Linked DNA regions of Arabidopsis thaliana. The protein of the gene in region 1 interacts with the protein of each later gene in a pairwise test. Each region holds a gene or a part of one and is shown in the gene's direction. Other genes may lie near its edges.

Region 1 (3,755 bases):
CCTTTTTTTGTCTGACATCGTATATGTATATTGGTTACATCTAAATTTGTCACACTTGTGTAGCAGTGATAGTTGTCTCAGTGTGTCTATAGACTATAGTTAAATGTTAATTAGTAGTATTTATACAATACTAATTACATCATCTAAATATTTGCATATGATTCACACAAGGCAAATTTCCTTGGCTAATTGTCACACTATTTATGTGAAGGTGAGTAGTTAAAGCTAATAACCTCGAAGTTGCTTGGTTTATATGAGATCAAGTTTGGCTCTTGTAAGTGAAGATAATAATTTAAAGAGTATTTTAATCGTGATAATCTAAATGTTAGTTGATAGTTAATACGTCACGGAACATGTACCGACCGACGGCCGATTTCCATGATACAATAAAAAAATGAAAATTAGCAATCTCATAACATGCGACGACGATACTTATGGTGTTGCCACGTAGCAAGCATCTTCCTCTTAACCATGAGGTGTCGCAACCTCAGAGGACAACACGGACAAGACCGAGAAACCGCATACTAACGCTTGCAACGTAAAGCACAACACCCCTAAACTCCTATTTTTTTAATTTTCTTTTAACCTCAACACACCACGCAGCTATACACGTTTCAATGTGCTAATACGTGTCTTCTTCTCCGCCGACCAAGACACACTACAAATGTCCCGATGGTTTGGGGAGACAAATCACAGTTTCTACTACAACAACAAATACTTTTACGAAAAAAGCTTTTAAAACTTATCTAGTTTCGTTTGATACACATTTGAAGAAAGAAATGGCATCCAACCAACAGAGCTACAAAGCTGGTGAGACCAGAGGCAAGGCCCAGGTAATAAGAATATATTTTTGTGTATGTGTATACGTAAAACCACATTATATAAGCTCTAAGATGATTTGTCTGTGTAATACCAGGAGAAGACTGGACAAGCTATGGGAACGATGAGGGACAAGGCTGAGGAGGGCCGGGACAAGACTTCTCAAACGGCCCAAACAGCCCAACAGAAGGCCCATGAGACAGCCCAGTCAGCTAAAGATAAGACATCTCAAACTGCCCAAGCGGCTCAGCAGAAGGCCCATGAAACGGCCCAGTCAGCAAAAGAGAAGACATCTCAAACTGCCCAAACGGCACAGCAAAAGGCCCATGAGACGACGCAAGCAGCAAAAGAAAAGACATCTCAAGCTGGCGACAAAGCTCGCGAGGCCAAGGACAAGGCCGGGAGCTACTTATCGGAGACAGGCGAAGCCATAAAGAACAAGGCTCAAGACGCTGCTCAGTATACAAAGGAGACGGCTCAAGGTGCGGCACAGTACACAAAGGAGACGGCTGAAGCCGGTAGAGACAAGACGGGTGGATTCTTGAGCCAGACTGGTGAGCATGTTAAGCAAATGGCAATGGGTGCAGCTGATGCAGTGAAGCATACTTTTGGGATGGCTACTGAGGAAGAAGACAAAGAGCATTATCCAGGAAGTACTACTACCACTACTGCAACTACTCGAACCACTGATCCGACTCATCAGACTTATCAGAGGAAGTGATGAGAAAACAAAATTGAGAACGATATGAAAGTATCTTTGTGTTAGTTGGTCTTTTGAGTTTTGTGTTTGTGTTTTTGTAATTTCCGTTGTGTCTTTCTTTATGGTTGTGGTTCAGCTGTGTTTCTTGTTGTGACGGTGATCCTGGAGACTTCTAATTTCCAGCCAATAAGTTTAGATTTGATCCTGTTACAACTTATGTGTTCTCAAATTTCTATTTTTGTTACAATAAACAGTTATTAATACACATCATGGTCCACTTCGTATGTTGGTCATCAAGCATTAGCATTATACAGATATAGCTGCTAATCCAAACGGGTTTTACTAATCTTTCAATTTCTTTTATCAAAAATTTCAATAAAACATTTGTGTCTGCTTTTACGTTTTACGAATCGTTCAATTTCATAGATCTACTAAAATGAGAGAAGTAAACCAAAAAAATTGAATAGTAATTTATCTAAACCGAGCAAACCAAATAAATTTATCAAGACGTCAACGGACGTATACTTTGGTGACCATCCGAAACGACATCGTATAACATCTTAGGGTTATGAGTAATGACACGACGTCGTTCTCTGGGTCGGTCACTGGAGATGAAGAGAAGCGGTCGCGACATTGTAAAGATCTCTAGCTCCGTCCTTCTTCCTCGTAGCTACCCTCTCTAATCTTTTTTTCTCATTCCTGTTCTTGATAGTTTTCTAGACAGATTTCGATTAAACAAAACCGCGGAACACTTTGAAGAAATCTGCGTGATTTAGAGATGGCGGCTTCTTTATCGAGCAGACTTATAAAAGGAATCGCTAATCTCAAAGCTGTTCGTTCTAGCAGATTGGTTAGATTCTCTCATAACCCTTTTACTCAATTTTGATGTATCTAATGTTTGCTCAATAAAGTTTTCTCTTTTCCCATCTTGAATCACTTAAAAATTGCTCCTTTATATAACATTTGAGGTTCTGATTCTTTTGTTAGTTGAACCGGATTAGATAGTTACGTGAGCGTATGGTTTTGAATTATGTGAAAATGAATTTGTTTCCAATAGAAGATGGTATTGATGATCATTTGATAGTTGAATTTAACATGGAGAAGAATGATGTGGTTTTTGTTTGCAGACGTCTGCATCAGTCTACCAAAATGGGATGATGAGATTTTCCTCAACAGTGCCAAGTGATTCAGATACACATGATGATTTCAAGCCTACACAAAAAGTCCCTCCCGATTCTACGGACTCACTTAAAGATATCGTTGAGAATGTACACTCCAGCTTCTCTAGATTTGAAGTTGAATGTTTCTTTGTTAGGTGTTTGCTAATGCTGTTTTAGCTTTGGTGGTTGTGTAGGATGTGAAGGATAATCCTGTTATGATCTACATGAAAGGTGTCCCTGAATCTCCTCAGTGTGGGTTTAGCTCACTAGCCGTCAGAGTTTTGCAGCAATATAGTAAGTTTTGTTGAAATGTTGATTGAAACTGAAGAAGCCTTCTGTGAATTTTCTTTACTATTGGCGTTAGGCTCTGTGTTCTGATCTACTATCTTGTGATATCCTTCTTTAGATGTTCCTATCAGTTCTAGAAACATTCTAGAAGACCAAGAGTTGAAAAACGCTGTGAAATCCTTCAGGTGAGTATGTGGACACTTAATGAAAGTTTCATACAGAGAGTTGTATAATCTCATTCTCAAAGTTTTTTCATAAAGTTTGGCTTTGTTATTGAAGTTCGTTACCGTTCATTCCTTAATCTTTGACCTATATGATCTAGACCTCCCTTTGATTTTCAAGTCTTTATTTCTTTGCAGCCACTGGCCTACGTTTCCACAGATCTTCATTAAGGGAGAGTTCATTGGCGGCTCAGACATCATCCTTAACATGCACAAGGTTAGTTCCACTTAAAGCAGACCCTGTTTGACTTTTTTTTCCCCCGTTTCCATTGTGTTTGTTTAATCACAAGTCTCTTTTACTATTCTAGGAAGGTGAATTGGAGCAGAAGCTTAAAGACGTCTCCGGAAACCAAGATTGATCCAAAGTTTGGAAGTTATGCTGACGAGTGGAAGTTATTATGTTTTTGTTCTTTCTTTTCATAAGAATGTCTTTTCATGTACGGTAAAATAATGTCTCAGAAACTCAAAAATCTTTGGATTTCGTATGAATAAAAACTTTGGTAAACTAAGATAGCAAAATCAAAGAAGCCCAACGAGCCTTATTTATTTATTTTATTATTCATAATC
Region 2 (3,755 bases), on another chromosome or scaffold:
TGACCATCTTCATGATGATGTTGACGAACTCAACTTCAGAGTGCAACAATCAAACCAACGTGGTCGCCGTTTGCTTGGAAAGTAGATGAACAGAGGGTTTATATGTTCATTACACTCATTCCTCGTTTGTTTTATTCTCTATGAAGTTGTTCTTTAAAACTGGAAAGATTCTTATCATGTTAAATACATTATTGCTATCTGTGTTTGTATTTGATCTTGTGACAAAAAACCAAAAAACTTATTGATCAAACAGAAGCAACTTTGGTATCGTTTTTATCTGTATCATAAAGCTTTCTCAAGAAATTCTGATAATAGATGAAATTATGAGTTTTAATCTCAGATTTATAACCTAAAAATATCAGTGCTAGAATACGACATAAGAATACAGAAACTCCAGACAAGTTGGAACATATGTTATGCAACAACTGCACAATCATGTGAGATTATTCAAAAGAACAAAAAAACCAGGAACTCTTCATTCCCTTTAGTCTTCCTCAGCTACAATCCAAGGGATATATTCCACAATGTCCTCTTCTTCACTTGTATAATGTCTGAAGCCATAAAACACAAAGACTACTAATGAGAACTAGACAAAGCAATCTGACATAGTTGGAAAGAACTATGAATAGAGGAAATAATAATCTCATACAAACACCACTTGTTCCCGAATCATATTCTCAAGCCACAAACTCGACAATCAATGAATATAAAGTGGCTCCAACATGACCATTAAAAACAAATAGCTTTGGAGGATATTGTAATGACAAACATACATCTACTGAAGCTTGACTTCCATGATGTTCTTGGTCTTGGGAGGATATGCCAAGTAAACCTTGAGCACTCTCTCAGCAACAAAAAGCTGTTTTTTAGCTTCAGCATAAGCCTCAGTCACCTTCGATGGGTCAGTGAGATTCTTGTTCATGCGGAAGCCATCCAAGGTCCTTCGCTTACTGTACTCCCTAATGTTGTAATCAGGGAATTGACGTCCCGCTCGAAGCAAGGCACGACATAGGCTAAGAACTTCACTACTAGACACCATTGCAAGATTGGAAACTAACCCTTAATTATACAAAGCCTGGTTAACTGCAATCAGTATAAGAACACAAAGAAGCTGAGATTAGCAATGCCGAAAAGGAAGAGAAGTAGTCAAGATGATCAAGGGATAAAGCTATACACTTCGACATGTAACAAGAAGTTATATAGATAAGTGAAAAGTATTAAGGACCAGTACATCATTTATAGAGCAAAAGAACCTAGATTCAGTAACATTAGTATATAGATAAGTATTGATTTGAGTAGTGTATATAAGGTATGAGAACCAGTTGCTGCAACATTAGAAACTAGGCACTAGAGTTCATGAAAATACGCAAAAGAACCAATATTAACTAATCGCAAACGCTTAAAACAATCAAGAAGAAACCTTAAAAGGCCATAAACGCACTTAGTAATCCTAAACTTCAGTAAAATGGATGAAATTGCAGTCACAGCCAAAAGAGACAATACATCTGAATCATGAGAGGATCCGATAAGCATAGAATTTGACGATAACGAGCTCCAGATACATATACATACCGAATCAAATCGTCGGAGAGTATTAATTTCCCGAGCTCGCCGTTGAAGTTCTCCGTTCGAAGGTTTTGATAGCAGCAAGCTGGGTCGTTCGGGGGAATAAATAAACTTTTAGGTTTACCCAAAACTAAACCGGGAAAACTGATTTGGGAACCGGATCAATTTTAGATTGAGTAAGAAAAGAACCGGTTTTAGAATGGGCTAGACACAAAGGCCTGTTAAATTGGGCCAATATGTGATAAGCCAGCCTTTTTTAATGAAGGTGTATGAGCTGGCATATTCGACAAGAAATAGTAAACAAAACCGATATTTATCATTCTCTGTCACGCCTTCTTCCTTCTCTACACGAATTCGATTCTCTCTTATCTCGACGAGAAAACCCTACTGCGAAAAAACTCCGATCTCTCTGGCGAGAAGTAAATTTTTATCTCTGAGCTTGGTTTCACCATTTCTCTATCTCTATCTCCTCGCTGGGTTACGGTACGAGCCTCTCAAACTTTTCGATTCCTTGTGTTCATAAGTATGTGTGAAAATCCTTGCGTGTCGAGATTGATTTTTCTCTTTTTCGTTTCGGATTCATCGTTGGATTCTTATTTCGTCAATGTTTTTCTGTGATTTGTTCTGATTCATGTGTAATTTGTAGCTGACTTGATTGGTGATCGATGATTAAAATTTGTACTCGTTAGTTCCCCCTTGATTCGATTGATTTTGTCTCTGTGAGGGTATTTTTTCTGATTCTATTGTATTGTTTGTAGATTTGCCAATATTAGAGACTACAAGTGTCGTAATTGGATTCTGAATGAACTTTTGAAACTCTACACGAGCTGGATTGTTGTGTTATTTATATTACAGAGAAATTTATAGCATTTTTGTTGTGTTCATCTGGTTTTCACTAATTTGGTTTTCTTCTCCATCTTTTGTTGATAGGTTTGGTAAGGTCAGTGTTCTCTAAGGCTGAAATTTGGGGGTTTCTCAGTCTCGATGTGGTCGTGCTCCGTTAGGATTCTTCACAATCATTAGGGTTATATTTCTTACAAACTGATGCTCATTTTCTCTTCCCTGTCTATGGCTTTATCTGTGATCCTTCAAAAGCTTAGTGTCTTCGGCCCTGGTTTGAATCCTTCTTTCCCTTACTGCATCGCCAATCACTCCTTTGCCTCCCGTTAATTGAGTTGCTCTCTTTCAACTTAATTACATTAGTCTGCTTCCTTTGCTGTCTAGTCTGGATAGTGTTGCAAATCAAGTAGTATCTTCTTTAGACATTCTTGGCTGAGAGATTTACACTAAAAGCATAGAATAAGAAACCCCTGTTTGGTTAGTATCTACCCGAGTCTCGTAGTCCTACACAGATCCGGATCCTAGTTTCGAAGCTAGTTCTTGTTTAGCTGAAGCTCAGACCCAAAATGCTCCAAGAACCGTCGGCTGCATTCTCCCTCCGGCGTAACTCATTCAGACGCCGATCTCCCAGATCAAATGTCGATGACAGAGGCTGGAATCCGCTCCATATCAAAGCCAGAAAAGGCGATCTGAAATCTGTCAAGCAGCTTCTCGACCAAGGAATGGATGTGAATGCTCTAGCATGGGGACCCAAATCAAAAGGAGTGAGTGCACTTCACCTTGCAGCAGAGGGAGGTCACATTGAAGTCATGGATTTACTCCTAGAACGTGGGGCCAACATTGATGCTAAAACATGGGGCTCATGCGGGTGGACTCCTCTCCACGCTGCAGCCAAAGAGCGGAAGAGAGAAGCAGTGAAGTTTCTGGTGGAGAACGGCGCATTCTTGGCAGATGATATAACTGATACCAGGTTTAATCCGCCGGTGCATTACTGTCACGGCCTTGAATGGGCGTACGAGGAAATGAAGAAGCTTAACAGCGAGTCTTCTTCTTCATCTGGTGGAGACACATCTTCCAGTTCTGACAACTGAACTTCTTCTTGGTTGTTTCTCGGTGTGTTTTGTTTTGTTTTCTAGTTGAGACTACTTATCAGAACTATTATGGTTGGTGTTTGATCTTATGGGCTATGTGAAACATTGAAACTGCGGATACATTCATGTAATCTTCAGTGTGTTATTTTGCAACTCCAGTTTGATATCCTAGCCGAATTTGATTTGTTTAACCGGTTCTGGATCAACCAAAAATATGAGATAATCGGTTTTGGTCTCTTATGAATCATTAAGTCTAAA
Region 3 (3,755 bases), 5.1 Mb from region 1:
TCTTCGCTTCTGTGAAATTTGATAAAGCGAAAGTTTTTTTCTTATGGATTCTCTTCGATTCAACCTCCAACAATCTCCATTTCAATTGAAACCTAGAATTCTCCGACCAAGAATCACCAACATATCAAACCGAATCGATGAAACCGATCCTCGACCATCATCCTCGGCCGGTAGGATCCAAAGGTTAGTACTTAACAACGAAGGTCGGACCAAACTAAACGCCGATCCTGACCGTGAATTCTATTCATATCCACGGTTCGTGAACCACGTAGATGATAGTTTCATATCCTCCTTAACCGAACTATACAGAAACCGGTTGAGACCCGGTTCGACTGTACTTGACTTGATGAGCTCATGGGTCAGCCATCTTCCAGAAGAAGTGAAGTACGAGAAAGTAGTAGGGCATGGTCTTAACGCACAGGAGCTTGCTCGTAACCCTAGACTCGATTACTTCTTCGTCAAGGATCTTAATGAAGATCAGAAGTTCGAGTTCGAAGACAAGTATTTCGACGCTGTTTTGTGTTCTGTTGGTGTACAGTATCTACAACAACCCGAAAAGGTACGTTACCGTAAACCAAAACCGATTTCGGTTATGTCAAGAAGATTCCTAAACCGGGTCTTTATTATATAAACCGCAGGTGTTTGCAGAAGTGTATAGAGTGTTGAAACCGGGAGGAGTGTTGATAGTGAGTTTTAGCAACCGGATGTTTTATGAGAAAGCAATTAGGGTTTGGCGTGATGGAACCGAATACAGTCGGATCCAATTGGTGGTTCAGTACTTTCAGTCTATTGAAGGGTTTACTCAGCCGGAGATCATCCGGCAACAGCCTGGAGCTCAGATATCGGTTTTGACTCGGCTTATGGGTTTTATCGGTTTAGCTTCTACGCCCGATCCTTTTAATGCTGTCATTGCTTATAAAAATTTCAAACCTATTTATGAGTAACACGCACATAAAAAAAAGTGTATAAGAATTGGATGGGAAGTTTTTGAAGAAAAGGAAAAAACCTCTCAACCAAGTCCAGCTGGAGAAACTTACAATACAAATTTTTAAAAAGTGGAGAATGAAATTACAGATTTCAATCAAATTGGAAGAACCTGTATTACACAAGAAATAATTGACAGAAAGATTACACACTTTGGAAAATATAATTAATATATAGTTTTCAATTAGCATGCATTGTATGTGATTCGTTTTGTTCGAAGATTCATGGACAATATCCAAGCAAGGTAGCCTTGTCCCTCTTCAAACGAGTATCACGAGTTGCTTACTTTATGGTTTAGATTCTATAATAACAGTATATATATTAGAAGGAAGTCTTTTATATTAAAACAAAAATCCATTGTATATGTACACTATCTATGTTCCATGCATGTGTCTTCTTAAATAGCTATGAAGTCCCTTATTTTACTATGTACATACTAAATTTAGTTATGTTTATCAGGATAACTCGTTGTACCATCAGTATATAAACTTTGAAATATTAAATGTTTCTCACTACTAGTATTAGACTGTTGCAGTTGCGTTAGAGACGTTTCATATTTAGAAATAATATTATCCAAGACCTGAAATTCTTATTATTATGAAAATTATGAAATATCGATAAGGGAAAAACTGTATGGAAGTGTAAAAGACACCAAAACAGATATTGAACCAAAGGTGAAGCAAAGAAGTTGATTCAAAGTTGCCACTTTATTTAACCTTTTGCACCAGTATATATACACACACATGGATACTAACCCAATCATTCATCACAACACATCAGATCCTTCACCATATATTTCTCTCAACCTCGCCAATATGGCCCAACGCTTTCAATTGAACTCACAAACCCTCCCAACGGCCGACCCTCTCAAAAGGGTCTCCCTTATTCCAAGATCCGCCGAGCAGAGGCTGGCTGATAACGCAGGCGAGAGGCGTCCTTTAGCACCGAGATCTCACGAAGACAACCCCTTTGGGGGTCATACTGATGATCACCATGTTGCTGCTCCTGCGGACCATAATAAGGTGATGGATCATAATAGCGAGAATCTCGGTTCCATTGTCCCTAAGACTGCACATTACCCTCATCCATCTGAGGAAATCCTTGATGCTAATATCCGACATTCGATGGTTCCGAAATCATTGGGTCCCAATTCGCTCGGTGGAAGATTTGGTCCGGGAAAGAAACAAGCTTTCCATAGAAATGGCAGACCCATGTTTTCACTTTCTGATGACCGAGTCATGGCTGATAGAGTCTTGAAGACTCACAGTCCAGACATGATCTTCTTTGATGTCACATCACTTCTCTCCGTTGTTAATGACATCTTCAAGTCTCATGTCCCATCCATTGACTCCTCTGCTCCTAAGGTTTAGTTTACTTGTGCAACAATTAATCCCCATTTCAAATACTGATTTTTACAAGCGTATTAAATTTAAAACTTTTTGCAGCCATCACTCGTCTTCAAGGACTACGCTGATCATACCTCCTTTGAAACTTTTGCGGATCTCATTGATCAAATCTCTTGCGAGGTATATATGAAGCTTTCTTGTTTTAAGTAACGTTTGAGTCAGTATCTAAGTATCAATGTCTCTGACACAGATCGACTGCAAGTGTCTCCATGGCGGTGAGTCTCACGGTATGATGACATCAGGGCTTCATTTGGATAGTCGCAACACGACGACGTTCTCTGTTCTGTCTTTGGTCTCCAAATACCGTTGGGATGCTAAGCTAGTCCTTGTCCTATCTGCTTTGGCCGTGAAATACGGCGTTTTTCTCCTCCTCGCGGAGACACACGCAACAAATCAGCTCACAAAATCTCTGGCTCTCATCAAACAGCTCCCTAGCATCTTCTCCCGGCAGAACGCTCTACACCAGCGTCTCGACAAGACCCGAATTCTGATGCAAGACATGGTTGATCTCACCACTACCATCATCGATATCTATCAACTCCCGCCAAACCACATCACAGCCGCGTTTACCGACCATATCCCCACTGCGGTTTACTGGATTGTTCGCTGTGTTTTGATATGTGTTTCTCACATCAGTGGCGCCAGTGGTTTCAAGCAGGAGTAAGTTGTTTTTCTTTCTGATTTCTAGGGTTTCAAGTAGGAGTAAGTTGAGTATGTGCTTCTCATCTATGTTTTCAGTCAAATCATGTCGTTTATGGAAGTTTCGGAGATACATGAGAATAGCGAAAGGCTTAGGAAGATCAATGCTTACTTGTTAGAACAATTCAAGAAGAGTAAAATGACCATCGGTAACTACGACGTCGTTTTAAGCTCTCTCTCTGTTTCTATATATTTAAGAGTATTTTTATTCCTCTGTTCTCAAGCTCTGTTTTTTTTACTCTGTTACAGAGGAAGGTATAATCGAAGAAGAGTATCAAGAACTCATCCAGACGTTCACTACTATCATTCACGTCGACGTTGTTCCTCCTCTACTTCGTCTTCTCAGACCCATTGATTTTCTTTACCACGGAGCTGGTGTTTCAAAGAGACGCGTAAAACCTCCTTATATCTCTGCATCTGTATATGTCTCTTGTCAGTGACTGATCTGTTTTCAAACATTAACCAGGTCGGGATCAACGTGCTCACCCAAAAGCACGTTCTGCTTCTGATATCAGACCTAGAAAACATCGAAAAAGAGCTCTACATCCTGGAATCGCTCTACACAGAAGCATGGCAGCAGTCATTCGAGATTCTTTGGGTTCCAGTTCAAGATTTCTGGACAGAAGCTGACGATGCCAAGTTCGAGGCCCTTCACATGAACATGAG

Evidence for each region.
Region 2: the proteins of GRX4 (region 1) and ANK6 interact in a two-hybrid assay, tested with the Arabidopsis thaliana proteins (one large-scale study listed by BioGRID).
Region 3: the proteins of GRX4 (region 1) and SEOa interact in a two-hybrid assay, tested with the Arabidopsis thaliana proteins (one large-scale study listed by BioGRID).

Annotation. Positions count from the first base shown.
Region 1 is NC_003074.8:5,307,926-5,311,680, reverse strand, and holds the start of GRX4 (glutaredoxin 4), read left to right. Parts: upstream 1-2,056; 5' UTR 2,057-2,297; coding exon 2,298-2,369; intron 2,370-2,646; coding exon 2,647-2,787; intron 2,788-2,873; coding exon 2,874-2,973; intron 2,974-3,085; coding exon 3,086-3,152; intron 3,153-3,326; coding exon 3,327-3,405; intron 3,406-3,496; coding exon 3,497-3,547; 3' UTR 3,548-3,755. Other genes in the region: AT3G15670 (Late embryogenesis abundant protein (LEA) family protein), read left to right, coding at 780-833, 917-1,540.
Region 2 is NC_003076.8:24,625,282-24,629,036, forward strand, and holds ANK6 (Ankyrin repeat family protein), read left to right. Parts: upstream 1-1,905; 5' UTR 1,906-2,049; intron 2,050-2,496; 5' UTR 2,497-2,972; coding exon 2,973-3,497; 3' UTR 3,498-3,687; downstream 3,688-3,755. Other genes in the region: SNAP33 (soluble N-ethylmaleimide-sensitive factor adaptor protein 33), read left to right, coding at 1-85; AT5G61220 (LYR family of Fe/S cluster biogenesis protein), read right to left, coding at 776-1,039. UniProt on the Arabidopsis thaliana protein: Promotes anthocyanin accumulation through interaction with PHYA, especially in response to far-red light, high light and sucrose treatment, probably by triggering A3G2XYLT/UF3GT expression.
Region 3 is NC_003074.8:245,489-249,243, forward strand, and holds the start of SEOa (sieve element occlusion protein), read left to right. Parts: upstream 1-1,703; 5' UTR 1,704-1,727; coding exon 1,728-2,348; intron 2,349-2,429; coding exon 2,430-2,510; intron 2,511-2,580; coding exon 2,581-3,050; intron 3,051-3,128; coding exon 3,129-3,238; intron 3,239-3,338; coding exon 3,339-3,481; intron 3,482-3,555; coding exon 3,556-3,755. Other genes in the region: AT3G01660 (S-adenosyl-L-methionine-dependent methyltransferases superfamily protein), read left to right, coding at 44-559, 639-944. UniProt on the Arabidopsis thaliana protein: Scaffold protein required to form the phloem filament matrix in sieve elements.